4 linked regions of the Drosophila melanogaster genome follow. The protein of the gene in region 2 interacts with the protein of the main gene of each other region in a pairwise test. Each region holds a gene or a part of one and is shown on either strand. Other genes may lie near its edges.

What was found.
Region 1: the proteins of CG8997 (region 2) and Eip63E interact in a two-hybrid assay, tested with the Drosophila melanogaster proteins (one large-scale study listed by BioGRID).
Region 3: the proteins of CG8997 (region 2) and CG13097 interact in a two-hybrid assay, tested with the Drosophila melanogaster proteins (one large-scale study listed by BioGRID).
Region 4: the proteins of CG8997 (region 2) and tun interact in a two-hybrid assay, tested with the Drosophila melanogaster proteins (one large-scale study listed by BioGRID).

Annotation. Positions count from the first base shown.
Region 1 is NT_037436.4:3,513,939-3,518,794, forward strand, and holds the start of Eip63E (Ecdysone-induced protein 63E), read left to right. Parts: upstream 1-1,812; 5' UTR 1,813-1,996; exon of another isoform or gene 1,997-2,590; 5' UTR 2,591-2,835; coding exon 2,836-2,890; intron 2,891-4,856.
Region 2 is NT_033779.5:13,843,377-13,847,085, forward strand, and holds CG8997 (uncharacterized protein), read right to left. Parts: upstream 1,950-3,709; 5' UTR 1,887-1,949; coding exon 1,817-1,886; intron 1,753-1,816; coding exon 1,040-1,752; 3' UTR 539-1,039; downstream 1-538. Other genes in the region: CG33306 (uncharacterized protein), read right to left, coding at 1-196, 252-330; CG7916 (uncharacterized protein), read left to right, coding at 3,402-3,507, 3,578-3,709.
Region 3 is NT_033779.5:8,511,662-8,516,774, forward strand, and holds CG13097 (uncharacterized protein), read right to left. Parts: upstream 3,208-5,113; 5' UTR 3,094-3,207; coding exon 2,999-3,093; intron 2,932-2,998; coding exon 1,185-2,931; intron 1,079-1,184; coding exon 932-1,078; 3' UTR 513-931; downstream 1-512. Other genes in the region: CG13096 (uncharacterized protein), read right to left, coding at 1-107; PIG-U (phosphatidylinositol glycan anchor biosynthesis class U), read left to right, coding at 3,492-3,621, 3,682-4,306, 4,369-4,640, 4,701-4,954; mRpL51 (mitochondrial ribosomal protein L51), read right to left, coding at 5,107-5,113.
Region 4 is NT_033778.4:15,792,098-15,797,051, forward strand, and holds the start of tun (tungus), read left to right. Parts: upstream 1-1,902; 5' UTR 1,903-2,853; intron 2,854-4,954. UniProt on the Drosophila melanogaster protein: Mediates the side-chain deamidation of N-terminal glutamine residues to glutamate, an important step in N-end rule pathway of protein degradation.

The sequences.
Region 1 (4,856 bases), on a different chromosome or scaffold from region 2:
ATATGGTGATCGATCGATCGATCGATTGAACCATTTGCAGCTCGATCGGCGGTGGTCAGAACTCGTTCTGTGGCCCTTTTGGCCAACAAGAGGTCTGCAAACAGGCCAAACCTGCAAGGGCCAAGACGATTTACAACCAAAGATGATAAAAAAAAAGAACGAAATTCAACTAAAAAACGAGGAAGCACTGATTTTTAAAAACAGCGTTTCAATACCCTTCAATTCGAGGAATTATAATGATTCTTGGCTGGTACAGCTTGATATGGGTTATAAGTTTATATAAGTTGAACTATTGCATATTGTTAATATTCCACAAGAAGTGCTATCAAGTATTGCTATTAAAGTTAAAAATATAAAACTAATCGCCTGACTATTTTAGTATACCTTTTCTGAGGGCATCAAGAGCAATCAAAGATCGAAGTGGATTGCAAAGGACATTGACTTGAAACTCTGGGATCTCACAACTGATCTCTTTCAGATATTTTATGACCCCAGCTTGTGGCTTTTAATTCTGCAACAAAATTGATTTCGGCAATGGGAAGAACACGTTTCCCCCCGAGTTACAAACAAAAAAAAAAACTCATTTCGGTTCTGTCGATTTTTATGGCTTTTCTTGGAGTTGGTTAATCGCCTTCTTTTTCTCTGATCTCTGGCGCCCAAAATATTTTTGCTCGAGTTTCGGTTTTTAGCTTTGATATTATGCAATTGCTAGCCGTACTCTTTTTTACACAATTGACTGTCGAATTAGCACCTCACTCACATCCAGCGACAGGTGACGATAAGGCGGGCGGGCAGTGGGCGTGGCAGCAGCAACAACAACACACATTACTCTAAACGGTGGCAACTTTCACTCAACAGCCGTGCGGAATACTAAAAAAAAAATCAAAAAACAAATAAATACCCGTGCAAATTGGGTGACAAAAACAGCAACAAAATGTCAGAAAAAAAAAAAAAAAAAACTGGGAGCGAGTGGGAGAGTCAGGCGATCTTCGTCATCCAAAATTACCTCACTTATCAACCTAAGCCGATTGTTGTTGCCGAAATATTGGTGTCATATTTTCTTGTCAAGGTCACAAATTTGTTGTCAAATTGTAAAAAAATGTTTATTGGGTCTAAAACAATAGTGAATAATTGTAAACGAATTTCTGCCAAGGTCAGTTATCCCTTTTGAACTTCGAGAAAAATATAGAAAAAAGAGAGTTTAGCCTTAGAAAAATTTTCAGTGGCTTTAATATTTATGTTGGCTGTTAAATAGGTTTGGAGTCGTAATAAAAACGTTGAATTCAAAAATATTAAAGAACTCAAGAAAATGTTGTATTAAAACTATAAAAAACATTCTGTCAAATAACATGATATTTTTATATATTAACAAAACAAAAATGAAGGAACAATTTTATATTATTGTTATTTGCCCTCAGTTGCAATCCACATTTCTTTAAAGTGCAATATGAGAATTCAGTTATTTCATTGTTTTAAAAACTTTGAAAGCAGGCTGCCAGAAAGTGGAAAAGATGACTTTGACGTTGCCGGATAGTTGTATTTTAATGTACTGTTAACCTTGGATTTTAACTTGTTAGTTTCTATAAGATCTCTAGCTAGTTGCTTTACCGTTCCGATTAAAAGGCTAGAGGAACCGCATTGTTTCTTGAAATTTAGAGAAATTAGTATTGTTCTTGTAGAACTTAAGTCAATACAATTATTTTTTTTTAACAGAATTCTGTTACTTGCGTGCTGTTAAAAGTTAGCAGTATTTTCTGCAAAGTCATATGTTTTGGTATTTCTCAGCTGCGCCGCCTGATTTTTTGGCGCTGACCCCTGCCTGGCCACACTGGCGATGTGGTGTGACCAAATTCGTGCTCGCTCCGCGAGTCGCCGTCAAAAAACAACTGTGAAATTGCACAAGAAACTAAACAAATAATCGCGTAAAATTACCGAAAACATGTGCAGCGGCCGTTAGCAGCGTGCGGCAACTAATCGAGCCAGTGAAAACGTGCAGGTGCGAGCGAGAAAACACGCGTACGCGTCACTAGCAACAACAACAAACACACAGTGCACCAACTCTCGCATAAGCACGCACACACACACACACACACGCGCGCACACATGCATAAACACCGACGCACATGCAACAAAAATAAAATAAAAACAAAAGAGCAAGCGAAATAATAACAGAAATAAATTTGATAAATTCAATTATAAATTAAGGCAGCTGCTTGTGTGCTAAGCAAAAATATTAAATAGAAAGTCTTGGCCACTTAAGTGAACCAAAATTAGAGAAGCAGCAGAGTGCCCAAAATATCAATATATAGATTTGATATCTAAAAGTAACGAAAGTTAACTTAAAACCTTAATGGTGGACAATGGATCAAAAAAACAAAATCCCTACTAAAATAAATTCCAAATACTTGCTAAATGAATGAAACCCGCAAATAAAGTCGATTCTTACCAAGATAACCAAAACTAGCTTCATGACTTTTAATTCTTGTTGTTTTAATTTTTGTGCACTTCCTGGTTACGGAACACCTGGAAAACCCCATCCTCGCCTTTTTCCACGCTGATTAACAAATCTCGCGTTTTTCCCCCCTATCAGCTGACATACGCATACAAAGCCCATCCAGTTGCCACCCCCTACTTCTTGCACCTGTAAAGAACAGGTGACTAATACACTGCTCGCGAAGTTTGTCAGCTGCTGGCGCCGTGGAAGCAACAACAACAAAACTAACCACATCCACATCGGCAACAACAACATCGGCTTTCTACAGAGCAGCGACGTCGGCGTCGGCAGAGGCCTCTGCCTGCACAACACCAGCAACAATAAAATCAAAAACTAAAACTATGGCCACCACCACCACAACAACAACAACAACGGGGGCAACAAATGCTAAAGATGGTGAGTTATATACTTAAAAGGATTTAAGATTAAAGAAAATATATCACAAGAAGTAAAACCCTTAAAAATCTTTAAAAAGAAACAGTAAATGGTGACCCACAAAAAACTGAAGCACAGATGCAAGGGTGCACATACAAACGACAAGTCGGTTAAAGTTCAAGGCGAACGAACAATTTAAATTGCAGGTTTCCGGTCAATGCCACTCTGTGTAATTAAACTAAAGTTAGTTGGTCGACCTAGATATTAGTATAACCTTTGGCTAAGAAAGACTGACATTTAAAGGCAATTAAAGGAAGGTTAGGTTTTAAGAAGAGCCATAAAACTATGGAAATAAACATACAATATCTTTAAATGTTTGGAAGGTTTTTCATTAAGGTTCTTTCATCTCCAGATGGCGGCAGAGAAATTAAAAAAAAAAACAAGTAAAATTCCATAATTCGCCCGCTTATCTGCGCTTTTCCAAAGACTTGCACATTTGTTTGCCCGGTACACAAGGCCGTAATCCTAATCCCTCAAAAGCTTAATCTTTTGTTTTGTATTCCGGGATCCGGGCAAAAAACCCTGAAACAGCAATCCCCACCAACGCATCTGACGTAACTTGTTGAGCAACCACGATTGCTGGCCGATTTGTTTTTGGACTTCTTTTTGGGCTGAGGAAAGAAGAAAAGTTTTATTAATATCAATAACCAAAAGAGCGAAGCGAGGGCAGCGAATAAGGCAAGAAATTAATGAATGCCACTGGTCGCGGGGAATAAATTTGAACAAAAAGCGAGGCACAAAGCAGCAAAAGCAAAACAAACCATAACCAGCTTAACAACGATAATTAAGAAGTGCCGGCCAGCAAAAAAAAAGTGTAAAAAATTACATACGAAATTTAATTGCCAAGGCGGAAAATGGTAGCATGCGGGGGGCAACAAGGGGGTATGGGGCCATGGCGAAGGTCAGCTAGGGGCCTGAAGGTCATAGGCATTTTCGACGTTGTCGTCACCTCTTGAACCCGCTCGAATTTATTGATTTTACACGCAGCAGCCGCAAAAAAGAGAGGAATAATCACAAAAACAACGGCAGCTACAAAATCATGCATATTTCTCGTTGCCCGATGTTTTACTACACCTTGAACAGTGGTCATCGGGTATGGTGAGCTACTTAATTAAAAAAACTTTTCATTATTAAGTTATTGCGAGCAGTAATTGTTAACGCCGCTAGGTGGAGCTCGTGTGCAATCCCGATAACAGTGGCACTCCTTTTAGTTGAATAAATGGTATGTCATAGTGTTGGCACTCCACCAATGTTCTTTGTTTCGCTTCGCGAGCATCCACTGTAGCCTTTATTCATATTTGTGTGCCCCAAACACTGGCACACAAAGCCAAACACACACAGAGAGCGACTTGTGCGGCTTTTGCTGGGCACTCGAGTAGTTCAGTGCGGGGCTTATGCCAAAGGCCAAATGGAAAACCTGCTTTAAGAGCCAGTGAGAGAAGCATACGAATCAGTCCAGCCACTGCAGAGCCCAAATCCCCTCCATGGCCACAGTTTGATGCTGAAATCGTGTGTTGTCTTTGGGGCTTGATAAACTGTAGCAAGCCCACAAAAATCTTCTAATTAAATCAAAGCTAACGGTTGCCGTTTAACGGTTTTCGTTCATAAAACTTGGCCAAAAAATCTAACTCGCTGTTCTTTCTGAGTTTTTTTGTTTTGTTTTTGCTTAGATACCATTGCCAATTTTAGGTTGCCATTTTTATCCCAACATTCTCATTTTGAGAGTCATTTTCTGTGTTATTTCTTATCAACTAAAACAAAAGGCAAAACTTTGATAAGCCAGTTGACACAGCGGGAAACATGATTCATTTGAGTGGTTCACATATTACATGGACTTTGGAATTTTCACTTAATTTAATCAATACGTATGTAGGTATGCACAAGTGATCGTAAATATTTAGAGTATACCTGACAACAATAAAATGCA
Region 2 (3,709 bases):
TGATCGAGCCCCTGAAGTTCAAAGTTCTCGACTCCAAAGGTGCCACTGAATTCTCCCGAGTTGATTTCGAACGACCTCTGCGCCGCCTTCATGGGTGCCATAACGGGGATTCCAAATCTCGGGCTACCATTTTGCAGGACGACCCTGAATGCCTCCAATCCGTCCACAATTACGCTGGAGAAAGAGCGTCCTTGGGCTGAAAATTAACTATGATTATTAAATTTTCCCTAAAATTTTCTTCATATTCTCACCTGACAAAGGTTCGGCAACTTCGGCACCTTGACAGCTGGCCAGGGCCACGATAAGCGCAATCAGGAATGCAGACTTCATTCTTAGCACAGAACACTAGTTAACCCTTTTGGCAATCAAAATCCACTAGTCGAAGCTTGCCAAATCCATTCCTCTTATATAGGAAAATGACCATTGAGATAATCTATCGGTACACAGCACAAAAATATCAGTGTCTAGATTAAAAAATTTTAATATTAGGAAAACTTCTATGTACAGTGAATAAACAGTGAATGCTTTCTTGGCTTATATTTACAAAAACATGGTTGAAATATGGAACAATTTGTTATTTATTCTTAAATAATTAGTGTTTATAAAGGTTTAAAGAAATATTAGGGGCATTCCTCTCATATCAAAATTATTGTTTATTGACACAAAATGGTGAGGTATTGAGTACAGTGCTCTAAGATATTCCCTTTGATATAAAAATCATATTCTGAAAATCGCTATATCTTATTATATTATTTTGTATGAATCTACATTTTTTTTCTGTGCATGTGAAGTAGCTTTATTAATCGGCAAATAATTTGGCAAAGTGTTTTATGACAGATAGGACACAACTTGAGATTAGACCGTCTTTGAAATATAATGAAAGCTGATGGATGTTGTAAATATTAAGCTTTTTAAAACATCGTTTAAATTTCCCAATGCAATGAACAAAAAAAAACCCACCGAAAGCCAGTCCCGCAAGAAAAGAGCCAGGTGACGAATTCTTGATTCATAAACGGTTGTTTAATGACCGATGATTTGTTTACCACTCGAACTCGGGGGGAATGCAGGCCTCCTTCTCTCCACCCTCACCATCACCACCGGCACCGGAGATGATCTCGGCGATGCTGATGTCGTCCAGAACGCTGTTGACGGCGGGCAGGGCAATACTCTCGATGGTATCGGCAATCAGATCTTCGTTCTCATTGATGGCCAGCTCCACGGCCTCGGCCAAGTACTCATTCATCTTCTCGTTGATGCTGCCATCGCCCAGGATGCCCTCGATCTCGGAATCAACCTCACCCAAGTGGGTGCGGACCTCCAATGACTTCAGCTTCAGGTTGCCGCTGATCACGCCGAGTGAGTACTTCATAGTGCCCCAGATAACCATATCCTTGATGGCGAATTTGGCATGTCCGGCACCGATCAGATTGATGGTAAATCCGTACTTCTTTAGCAGCACACTCAAATCGTATTGGGTATCCACGTTCACGTCGCGGAAAGTGAACTTGTAGGTCACCTTGCTGGTGATGGCGTTGACCTTCATCTCATCGATATCAAAATCATTCAGACCGTTCAGGCGGAAGTGATCAATGGTTCCCTGAGCCTTCAGCACGCTGCTATCGATGTTGATATCCTGATGGTCAATTCTAAGAGGAGCCAATGGCGGCAGGCCGACACTGGTAAAGCCACAGGGCATCTGCTCCTTAATGCCCTCGATCACATCCACAATCGTGCTGGAGATCGACTGGGTTTCTAGAGAATCAAATGGATAGGTATGCTAAATATTTGGGCATTGGAAATCATCTGGAATACTCACCAATGGGCTGGCCCATGGAAGCCGCACTGGCAACGGCCACAAAAGCCAAAATAGCCACGAAGATTTTCATTATTGCTTTGACTGAGAGTCCTACCGACTGATCGTAGTACCTACGGTATTTATACTACTCAGTCGTCCGGTCGCACGAGTCGCTTTTTATAGACGATCAACATTTCAGGTGGGGTTGTGATAAGGTGGCTTCGTACTCGTGAACGATTTGATTAGCCACCGGGCGTTCAATCGATGGCCTATTGCTGTCTTATCTCGGCCAACGATTCCCCGGTTGGCAAATTTTTTAATTTTAATGATTAGTTATATATACATACATGGGGGTACTTATCCTAAGGAAATGATCAGATTTAAAAAGACAGTTTTCACTAAAGTACAAACATTGCCTTCTTGTGGAGGAGTGTCAAGATCAAAGTCTATTTGGGGTGTGTCCCCGCTTTGTTATGGTTAGAAGGCTTCAAAAAAGTGTGTTTTTCTAAAACGTTTTCTAAAAAAGAAGGTGTAGGATTAGTGGTTGACTTGGAAACAAGATTTTAAAATCATTAGTTTCGCGATTACAGAGTACTCATACATTAAATGTATGGTCTTACGAAAACTTTCCATCAATCGATATTTTAAGGTCATGCAGGTGTTGAAGCCAATAGGAAACATTTTAACAAAGTAATTATCAAAATTGAAAACGACTACCAAAAATTTAGCATGATTATAATCTTCTAAAGAAGTCTGTTTGGAATTAAAATTCTCCATGCACTTCTGCGGATCTAAAGTCTGCGAAAAGTTTGTTTATTGATTAACAATCAAGTGATTTTTAAGTGCATTGAGTGATTTATGAATGATATCTCGACTGGGGTATTTAAAGGTCTTACGAATGGATCTATTAATAAAAAAATCCAGACGATTAACACCTGATGGCTAGTCAAATACTCTCTTAACGAATTATTGGCTTTAAAGTTAACGCCAGTCCTAGCCCAATATGTTTATCAATAAGTAGTTTACCCATTGTGTTAGTTCCCCTTGTAAAATCGTAATCAGAATAGCAATAAATCACTTTTTAGTACGCCTTTAAGGTTCTAAAGAGTACAAAAAAGCCACTGAAGCTCTGAAGACAAAAGAATTTACCCCCACTGAGTGATACGAATCGGTCATCCAGTGTAATCCGCCGACACCTGCATGGAGTGGTTGACGCAGTTTTACCCCCGGTAGACCAGTTATTTGTGTATAATCCAGATCGCAATGATAGGCAATATATATTCTTTAAGTGATATTGACAATCGATTGGCCAATTGGACGTCGAGATTAGGCCAAAACAAGCCACTCAGGCGAAACAAGTGCTCCCTTTTTTTACAAACCACTTGCCGAATGATTTGATTCCTTCGTTTTTAAATCGGAAGCCTATCGTGAATTGGGCGTTATGTTCATGGCAGCTCCGCTAATCAAAAGTAGCGATTAGCATTTGTATTTGTTAACCTGGTTAAGTGATCCCTTCCCTTCCCCTCGGCTTGCCCTTCGAATCCGCTAGCTTTGCTATAAAAGCCACTGACCGGCTGGGACAATCAATCAGGTGGCTGGCTATACAATGAAAGCTATCGTTTGTGTTTTTGTGACCCTTTTGGCCTGCGTAGCGGCCTACGATGTGGAGCTGCTCACCGAGGAGCAATGGGACCAGCTGGTGGCGCGTAATCGTAAGTGTCTTAAGCCATCCATCACCTGACCAAACAGAGGACTAATTGCAATGTGATTCCCCGCAAACAGCCGCCAAGCCCGATACTCAGGGTCTGATCTTGAACGGATCGGTGAAGAAGGCCATCAATGGACTGCTGAACCAAATGCCTTGTGGTTGGCCCCAATATGGAATTCCACCACTGGATCCCTACACCAATGCTG
Region 3 (5,113 bases), 5.3 Mb from region 2:
GTGGCCAGTTTCTTGGTCTTTTCCGGTTTACCCTTTTTCTTAACCACGCCCTCGATGCTGGCGCTCTTGTTCAGCGACTTGGGCTGCGGTTTCTGTACTTTAACCATATTATTTTTTGCTTTTTTGACAGATGCGTAAAAACTCGAGCAAAACTATATTTAAAATGCACCACAACCACACGTGCTACGCTTTAATATCGATATGTTCAGAATCGCAAAACGTAGCTACAGTCGATATCGGGAACTATTTTCATTACCGATGTCTCAGGCACGGTCACAACTTTAGCCAATACACACCCCCTTCGCAGGGCCGAGCACCAATAGCAGCTGTTTCACCAAAACCGATTGGAAAATTGACCGTTATAGCATATCGATTTCGATTTGTATCCCATCTCTATTTCTCCCTTAGAAGATAAAATTAAATTTTTTAATTTTGTAATGTAATATAGAAATTATGATGATGATTATATGATTGAGTATTTCTACTCTAATCCAACAAAAAAACAAGTGGCTACGTTACTTGCTTTGCTTTCTTTAATTAGGGTACTATTTACATAGCAAACAGTTATTTTAAGTAAATAATTCTAAGAATAGTCAAATTCCGCAAGCTGCACGCGTGCCTAATCGCCTCAACAGGACACAGAATGTCCTTGACTCACACGCCGCCACACACAAAGCGCCCACGCATCACATACACATACGATGGATCCGCGCACATGGAACATTAAAAGTACCGACACATGGCATCTCCCATGGAGCACCAAATTGGGGACTCCCCAGACACACAGTACATGCTAAAGATATTCTTGCAACAAGGATTGCTATGTGGGCATACGTGTGTGCTTGTGACAACTTTCTGGCACGTGACTGGAGACGAGAAAACTTTGCTGGCTTAAGGCAATTACAATATGAAGGAGTCCTAGCGTGTACGTTTAAAGCTTCAGCTTCTTGGCATCCGCCTTGGCGGTATCCTTTTTCGGTCGCTTTTTGGATGCTGTAGCCGCTGCGGTATCCTGCAGTTTGTGGAAGAAAGCCTTTGAGGACTTCAGAGCTCCCTGGTCGTTGCTGCTGGCATTGATCTGCAAGAAAATCGTTTAAAGTTTGATTCATTTAGAATTCAAAATCGCTCAAGAATAGCAATTAAATACAAAACATAAAACAGAGATAAACTAAAATGTTATATACCTTTTGAACATTGCGATTCTTGGTGATTGTCTTGAGCAGCTTGGCATCCGCTTCCTTCTTTGTGGGCGCCTTGCCCTCCTTGGCTCGCTGAAGCTCGCGCTGCTCCAGAGCCGAGTGGATGGCCCGCTGCTTTTGCTTCTTTTTGCGGCGCTCGCGGTTCTTATCCGTTCGATCGCGTTCGGTCTTGCCAAGTGGAGCGTGCTTGGGTCCGCGGAACACCTCCTCGGGTGCCAGCAGCTTGGCATCGCTCACCGCCAGCGGGGCCACCTCTTCCATGTGAACTGCTGGTGTGTTCGTTACGATCTTGATCTCCGGCGCCACCGGTTTCGGCGTGAAGTGGAAATTGGAGAGGGCGTCCAATTTAAGGAATAGGGAACGCATTGCCCGCTTGATTTCTTGGTGTTCTTTCGGTTCCGGACCAGTTTTGTCATCGGCATCGCGATTGGGATCGAGTTTTTCCATTTCGCGCTGATACTGCGCCTCGTAGATCTGCGACAGCGATTGTTTTGATTTCTCCTGGTCAAGCACAAGTTGTTTTCTGTACTCTTGCGGGGTGTTCACCGGTCGCACAGTGCGCTCCACATCGTCCCATGCTTTGTCGCGAATACGCTGCTTAATTATGTCCTCGATGGAGCGGTTATCCTCTTCCGTGATTGGCGCCGTTGGCCTGGTGGTCGAATCGAAGTCGAGAATCTCCTCAAGCAGTGAGTTCTGGGGCCGATTGGCTGCCTTTACTTCGCCTTTGAGCTGCCAAGGCTTCTCGCCTAGGACAATGTCTTCGTAGTCGCGGATGCGTTGAAACAAACGAGCCTCTCTCATCTCATTGGATGATTGGGACGGTGGCTCTGTGGGTTGTGGCTCCTCCTCTTCTTTCTCCGAATCCGAGTCTGAATCGCTGGCAGGTTCTATGCCACTTTTTGCCACGAATTCGGATTCATCTATTTCGCTGGCCGCCTCATCTGGATCTTGATCATTTTCAGGTTCATCATCGCCCTCGTCTCCTTCGCTTTGATCAGAATCGCCCTCTTTGGGATTTGCATCCTCATCCGGTTCATTTTCATTTTCACTCTCGTTTTCATTGAAGAAATCTTTCTGCTTGCCTTTGTTAATCTTTTTAGAATGCTCTGTCAGTTCCTCATTCATGTCAAAGAAGTCCGCATAGTTGACATTCCCCTCCTCATCGTCCTCCTCATCTTCGCCAAGACCAAAATCCTCTGCGAAATGATCTATATCATCGGCCTGCTCAACGCGTTTCTTGCTGTTCAGGCGGCGCATCTCCTTGGCATCCTCCTGCTCCAGGAACTCATTCATCTCTTCCAACTTGAAGAAGGTATCGTCCACCACAGAGTTGCGTAGTCGCTTGTTTCGTTTGTCTTTCGGCGGCGCGGTCTTCTGCTTTTGTAGCCCTCCATCCTCGTCGCTGAAGTCTGATTCCTCATCTTGTTCCTCATCGCCTGAGTCTTCAGCTTGTATTACTTCGTCTTCTTCCTCTATTTCTTCACCATCGTCCAGTTCAATGCCCAGGTGCTGCTCGCGCATCGCCGTCAGCCTGGCGGTTTGCTCCAGCACCTGTTGGAACACTAGTTCGTTGCGAATCTCCAGTTGCTGCCAGATCTGCTCCTCGTCCATTTGCTCCAGCACCAATTCCGGCAGCAGTTCCTTCTTGTTCGCCACATCCTCGCTGATGCTAACGGCGTATGTCTGCTGGATAAGCTGCTCGATGGCATTCACTTGTTCCGGCTGTGGCCTGAAATATAAATTGTTTTGACTACGTTTGAAAAAACACGTGCGCGGTCTTTGGAAGGAAAACAAACTGGAGAAAACGCTCTGGATTCTTGGTCAGCTGCTCGAAGTTCTCTGCGATTTCCTTGAAGACATTCGCCTCCTTGGATTTTTTACTTCCAATCATTTTTACTACTGCTTTCTGTGCTTAATTAAATGAAATATATATTCCAACAATTCGAGCGCAAGAGCGGGTCCAAAAACAACAACCAGTTGGTGAGAGATGGAACAGATACATAGAGATGAGCGCGTGATACAAGTACAAGTTTTTCCAAGCTTAAAAACTTTATGCGAGTTGGAATCCTGTTTTGAGCCAAAATTTGTTATTCCAAAAATAATAAATATATTTAACTTGAAGAAAACAAAGCTCTAAAAAAAATCATAATTGCTTACACAGTAGACCAGAAGCCGTATATCGTGACAAGGAAATCGATAATTTATCGAAGGCCTTTGCCACCACCAAGCCAGCTGTAGGCGGCTTTTTACAGGCGGAGTCCGTTCACAAAAACTATGCCCAACTAGAAGATGGATTCGAAGTTCTTTAAACTGCTCCTGCTGGGCGGCGCCGTGCGCTTCTACTTCTGTCGCACGCCGCTGGCTCCGATGATTGGCAACCGAGTGGAGTTCGCGACACCTTTAAATTCACACAAGCGCAGTAAGTAAACAAAGTAGACATCAAATAGATGAACAAGTCTGAATGGAGTTATTCTTGCAGTGCAAGAGGGGATATTTCTTCTACAGAGTGGCATTGATCCCTATCTGGGCGACCTGGTACACGAATCGCCGCTGATACTCAGCGCGCTCTCCGGATTGTTTCAAAAATACCCGCAGTTTCTGCCGATATTCTACATAATCCTGGATATCTGCACGGCGGCCCTGCTTTATGCGATGAGTCTGAGATTCGTCAAGCAAAAGCAGGATCAGCAGGACAAGGAGCGAAAGGAGTATGCCAAGGATACGGAAGAGCTGCAGTTTGGCCCGCTGGACAAGCTTGACATTCCGGAACTTGTGATCGTGGCATATCTTTTCAGTCCACTGACTGTTATGAGCTGCATTGGAATGACCTCCACCGTGATAAGCAATCTGTTCCTGGCTTTCTTTTTCTACTGCCTCGTGAAGGGAATGCTCATTCCATGCCTTCTAGTCCTCGCGTTCGAAACTGTCCGCAGCTTCTATCCCATTGTACTTATAGCACCACTGCTCCTGGTCTTTTCACGGAATTCGGTCAGGAGGGGTGTGGCTATAGCGGCGCTCTTTATCGTCAGTTGTCTAATCGTGGCAGTTGCGAACTATTTTGTGCTGAACAGCTGGAACTTCCTGGATGGAACGTTGGGTTTTATGTAAGCAAGAACTATCTTATTAGTTATCTGTTTGTATTTTTACGTATTTAACTATCTTACAGATTTTATTTCCGCGATCTACAGCCAAATATCGGTCTCTTCTGGTACTTTTTTACTGAAATGTTTGAGCACTTCCGCACCATGTTCCTAATCACATTCCAATTGAATGCCACCGTATTATACCTGGTGCCACTAAGTATTAAGCTGCGCAAGGAGCCCCTACTGCTAGCCACGGTATTGGTGGCCCTTATGGCCGTTTTTAGGGCGTATCCCAGCCTGGGCGATGTCGGCTTTTATCTGGCCTTGCTTCCGCTGTGGAAAAGATGTTGGAAATGTAAGTTATCTGGCTCACGTAGTTATTTCAACTGCTAAGCACTTTGGTAATTTCTTTCAGTCATGGCCCATGGCTTTGTGGTCTTTACGTTCTTCCTGGTCACTCTATCTATGATGGGAGCCCTTTGGCATTTGTGGATCTATGCAGGATCGGCAAATGCCAATTTCTATTTCGGTGCCACTCTTGCGTTTTCCACTGGGCAGATATTTCTAATCACCGATCTGCTGTTCGCGCACGTTAAACGTGAGTTCTGCTTGTTCAATGGTCAGAAGATTCTGATCGATGGCGAGGAAGCGAGGATAGTCTTAAAGTAAGCATTAACAGTATCAGTATGACGGACAGAATCCAGGAACTTTGTACAGATGCAGAATGCGCTTCCTAATGGCAGCCGAGCATACTCTTAAGATAAGTTAACTCCGAACAATATCAGATTAAACAAAATATTTTATTTGATTGTAATGGTTTTTTACTGA
Region 4 (4,954 bases), on a different chromosome or scaffold from region 2:
TTTCGCCTGAAACAAGCGTACTCAATAAAACTTTTAAAGGCTTTTCATATTAAATGCACAAGTTTCCGGATGGAAGGCTTTGGGAAATGCTCGCAAAACCCACTCCCCCCCCAAAACTTTTCCCCAATTTCCCACACTCTTGTGTGCACTCGAGCAACTTTTAAGCCTTCGCCGGACTGCTGATGATGTCCGCTCGGCTTGGCGGCTCTCAATTAAATATTTAACTTTAAGAAATGTAATTTCAATTAGCGCCACAGCATTTGGCCATTAGCGTGGCGAGTGCCGAGATTTGTGCCAATTGCGAAATGCGGAATACAAAAACAAGAGCCGCGATGAATGAGCAAACAGCAAGGAGCAGGAGGAAAATCGCAGGAAAATCGTGGGTGGAGTATGAAAAGCTGCGGGTTGGTCGGAATTTGGACACCCGCGCCTCTCGCTCAAAATCATTACGTGATTAAGGTTGCCATTACGGCCGGGAAAGCAAAAATAGAAAACTAGAGCATGGCACGCAGACAGCTGCAGAGGGGTTTTCTGCGGGACGGAAAACGGAGGAAAATCGGGACAGGGGGGCAGACGCTCAGCGACCGCAATTGCGCTCGCTTGGTTTGGCGGAAAATAAAATGAAGTGAAAGAAAATAAAATAAAATAAAACAAAATAAAATGATATAAAGAACAAAAAGCAACAAGAACCAGCTAAATAACAGCAAATAGAAATAAATAAATCAGCGACACGGCAGATGAGCTCTGGGGAGGATGGGCGGCCACAGGGACCCATCTTCGCCGCACAAAAACAATTAAAATGAAAAACCGTAAGCACTCTAATTCCGGGCGGAAAACGGGCGGCACTTTTCCGACTACTTCGAATTCGTATTCCGCATTCGTTCTCCGCACGAGCGAGCAAAATGGTTCGAAAACAAATTTGCCGATCTAATTAAAAGCTAAATTGTGACCATTAAATGGGGTTCACAACGCCACTGTCTACCTTACACATAAAACAAAAACGGATTCCATTCGATAGGCAAGTTAATATATATTACTCAAAATAATTAGTTTTTTTAGTAACATCGAAGTAAAGTTGTTAAGACTAAAGAGTGCGATATGTTTTCTCAAGTATTTCAATTCCCTTTTTTCCAGTGAACTATCTGTGACCTTAAGTGGGTACCACGGCATGGAAAAACATTGAAAAGCATTTAAGTTCGCTCCGCCTTTCAACAAGTTGGCAAGCAATGCAATTTACGGATGCAGAGCCCGGCGAAATGGATGAAGTGGAACGGGTGCCAGGATGCAAGGACATGGCCATTAGTGGGCCACGGGCCACGAGTGGAATAGAAAAAGTATGCCAAGCTGACCGCATAGCACAGGATAACACAGACCAGGACGAGAACGAGCCACTGATGCTGGGACAGGACCTGAAACTGGAACTGGAGATGGAGATGGAGATGGAGCTGGAGACTGTGCATGCGGACACGGACGTCTGGCAAATTGTAAATTAATTGATGAAGCCAGCGTTTAGAAGAGGCAGGGACAAACTCTCGGACTTCGGAATGTCAGGGCGGTCGCTGGAAATATTCGACAGGGATTGGGCTAATACTTTGAGCTTACAGTGAGTAATGCTGGTATTATAGCGAATAACTGCATAACATAGCAAAAAAATCGTCTTAAGTTTTTAGACTGTTTGCAGAAGGGTAGTTTACATTACTCATAACATAAACTCATATAAAATATTTTGCAATACTCTCATTGTGAGATACTTTAGCCCCCCTAAGAGGCAGCCCCTGGAATCGAGTAACTCGAACTGCAGCTGACATCTCGAACGGTAAGAGATGGCAATACGGAATGGAGCAGGATGGAGCAACGCTGACAAATTGCTGGTAGCAAGATTAATGCCTGCATTATCTTTCCTCATTTGTCGATTGTCAATGCAACTGGGCCGCGTCCGCAGCAGAATAGCAACAACAACAAGTTGATGCAGCAACAGGGACGACAACAGAACAGAACGCCCCTGGGGCGTGGCAGTTTACCTTTACCTTTGCGTTTTACCTGTCCAATGCCGCATTGTTCTCTGATTTCCCATTTTCCTCCTCTCTATCGCTGACATTTTTCAATTTGATGATGCACAGCAACAACAAACAACCGAGTGGGCGGCAATTTCGTCCTTATTTTTCCCATTCGAGCGCTTTTCCTTCTGCCGTTCCTTTTTTAATGGCATCTGGTGCTCGACAAGGTAATTTCATTTTTATATTAATGACAGTATGTTTGATGCATGTCCCTTTACAACTCCGTCTCGCTCGCTTAATCACTTAAGACTCTTAAATGCGAAAAATAAAAAACACAATGTGCCATATGGGTACACTTAATGGCCAATTGGTCGGTGGAATATGTCACGGTTTTGTTCAATTTAATGCCCGTGGAAATACAACTCTGAATATTTGCGAACATGAAACGTGAAAATTGCACTAATTAGTCAAGTCATCGATTATTTATCGATGGGGGGAGCAGGCATCACGTGGCAATCGATGCTGGGGGAAAAGTTAATTTTGGTAGTGTGTGTCGCAATTGCAGTTGGATAATTTGAAAATGCAATTACCAAAAATTAGTGCAATAATAGATAACGGGTGTTCTTGGTTTCCATTTTTAATTACTAGCATGTATTTTAACCTGTGCTGAATCGATAGTTGAGAAGTAATCCGTGTCATCGTTAGAATTAGAAAAGCTCATCACTGATCTTGTTTTGTTGACAAATCTTCAATGGAAAATCTTCAATAGCGAGTGTAAAGTGCAATTAATTTAAAACAAATCCAGGAAGTGAAAGATGTGAATGTAAATAAATCAGCAAAGAAGCAGATAAGACAGGTAGTACAGCTCATCGTATATTTTAAAATCTAGTATAAACCTTAAACTTTTTCGGCAGGTAGGCAAAAACTCAGCAATAAACCAAAATCAAAGGTGATAAGTCTTAAATTTTCATATTTTCCCATATATGCCCTTGTACTATGTACTTCGCACCTGCACGAACGACCATTTGGAGCCCCCCTTTCTAGGGCATTGTGAATGCCACCAATTAGTAGAGTCCTGCTCCCAAAAAAATGGAATATGGCGAGACAATATGTTCAGCTGAGCCCAAACAACTGCAGGCTAGAATCTAAATCCTTGCCGTCCAATAAAAACAGTAGAATGGATGTGGATGGACGGGTTGGATTCCGGGGTGTGGGGGGGTCCAACATTCCGGATGTGCCTGTTGGTCGTCGAAAATCTAGCGAACTTTACAGACAGAACAATGCCCTTCGGATTCCGAGTTGAGTGGAATTTTAGGTCTAAATCCGGCAGGGTCATAAAAAGTGCTTATTACATTATCACCTCAAGCGTGGCTGAGCTGGCTGTGGGCAGTGCCACGCCCACCCGCACACACACTGGCCCGTCCACAAAACGCAATTCACTCTCTCCCTCTTGCCTTATCAAAGGAACTGTTTGTGTGTGTGTCTACATGCCCTTCCCTTCAAAGGATATTACGATTCCTTCATCTGCTTTGTGTACTGCAGATCTTCCGAGGAGTTTGCCTTTAAATGATTACATGATGAGTAATTCAGAGCTTAGGACTAATCTGAAATCTAGAAATCTGTGAATAGATCACTTTAATACCTGTATGCATGATTCTGAACCATCCTCTTTTTTGTGGTATGAGTCGGCATTGCTTTGAAGATGTATTCTTAAAAGGTTTGATCTTAAGAAGCATATACCAAGTTGATCTAATTAAACATCTTACATTTTGAATTCCAATCTATTTAATGGTTGCTAGAGCCAACTGTTGATATCTCATTATATTTTTGCCAAGCCAGTGGCTATCGTTATTAAATATATTCCCGTAAATTGATTTAGTAAATAAAAATTAAATTTACAATCTGCTAGAGTATTCTGAAGTTCAGTGGCCGCAGCTGAATCCCCTTTTCTCGGTTTTTGCTGCGTGTTTTGGTTCTTTATTATGGCCCAGGCAGCTGCGTTTTTCAATTTTCGCTTTTTTAGGCCTGCAAACTCTCACCTGAGCTCGTTGAGCCCTGAGCCTTGAGCCGATTTGTTTCGGTTCGGTTCGGTTTGGTTTGGTTTGGTTTGTTTCAGTTCGGTCGCTTCAGTCACTTATTGGCAAATGTTTCGTAGCTGAAAAACGGAGGAAAATTCGGAGGAAAAACGGGGCGGAATCTGGTGCAGAAATGCGAAAAATGTGTAAATTTGCGCCCGCTTTTATTTTTCGCATTTGGCCCGGATGATGTGTAGCGGCTGATCCGCTTTGGCAACGCTCCCAGGTTCGAGTTCATTCAATTTGGATTAAGTCGTTCGTGTTGATTAACAAAATTGACTTTTTTGCAGACTTCTCGCCAATCGATTTCGATTTGGGATCGATGGAGAGCAGGCGCAGCTGTAAACCATTTAGCCGACGATGCCGTAGACGTTTAGTAAATATTCAATCAATTTGGATGGACAATAAATCACCAGGAAATCAAGAGCGTCTCAATTTCTCCGAGAAGATATGCGTCATAACAATAAAAAAAGAAGCATCCCATTTCCCGCCCTTTCCCCCAAAGTGCGGCAAATAAACAAGACAAGGCGACAGGCCATAATATATCATGGCCCCAAGGCGCCTGACGACACGACACGAAGATGGAGAGTCAGCTTCGAAGGACACTGATGCGTAATGGCTGCCATGGGGATGACATCGATCCGGAGCTCCGTCTCCTTAACTGCAAATCAATGACATATATTTACGCCAAATGCGTTTGCCCGCCGGGGCCACATGGACGGGAATAATAGGTTGAAATAAAGTAATAACCCGAATAATAGCATATGTCGGCGGAGCCATTACCTGCCGCTAATTGCCGGACAAACTTCTCCTGTCGCCGCCTAAGCCGGTCGCCAATTAAAGCCAAACAAATGCCGTTTGGAGTGCTAAAAGCCCTCAATC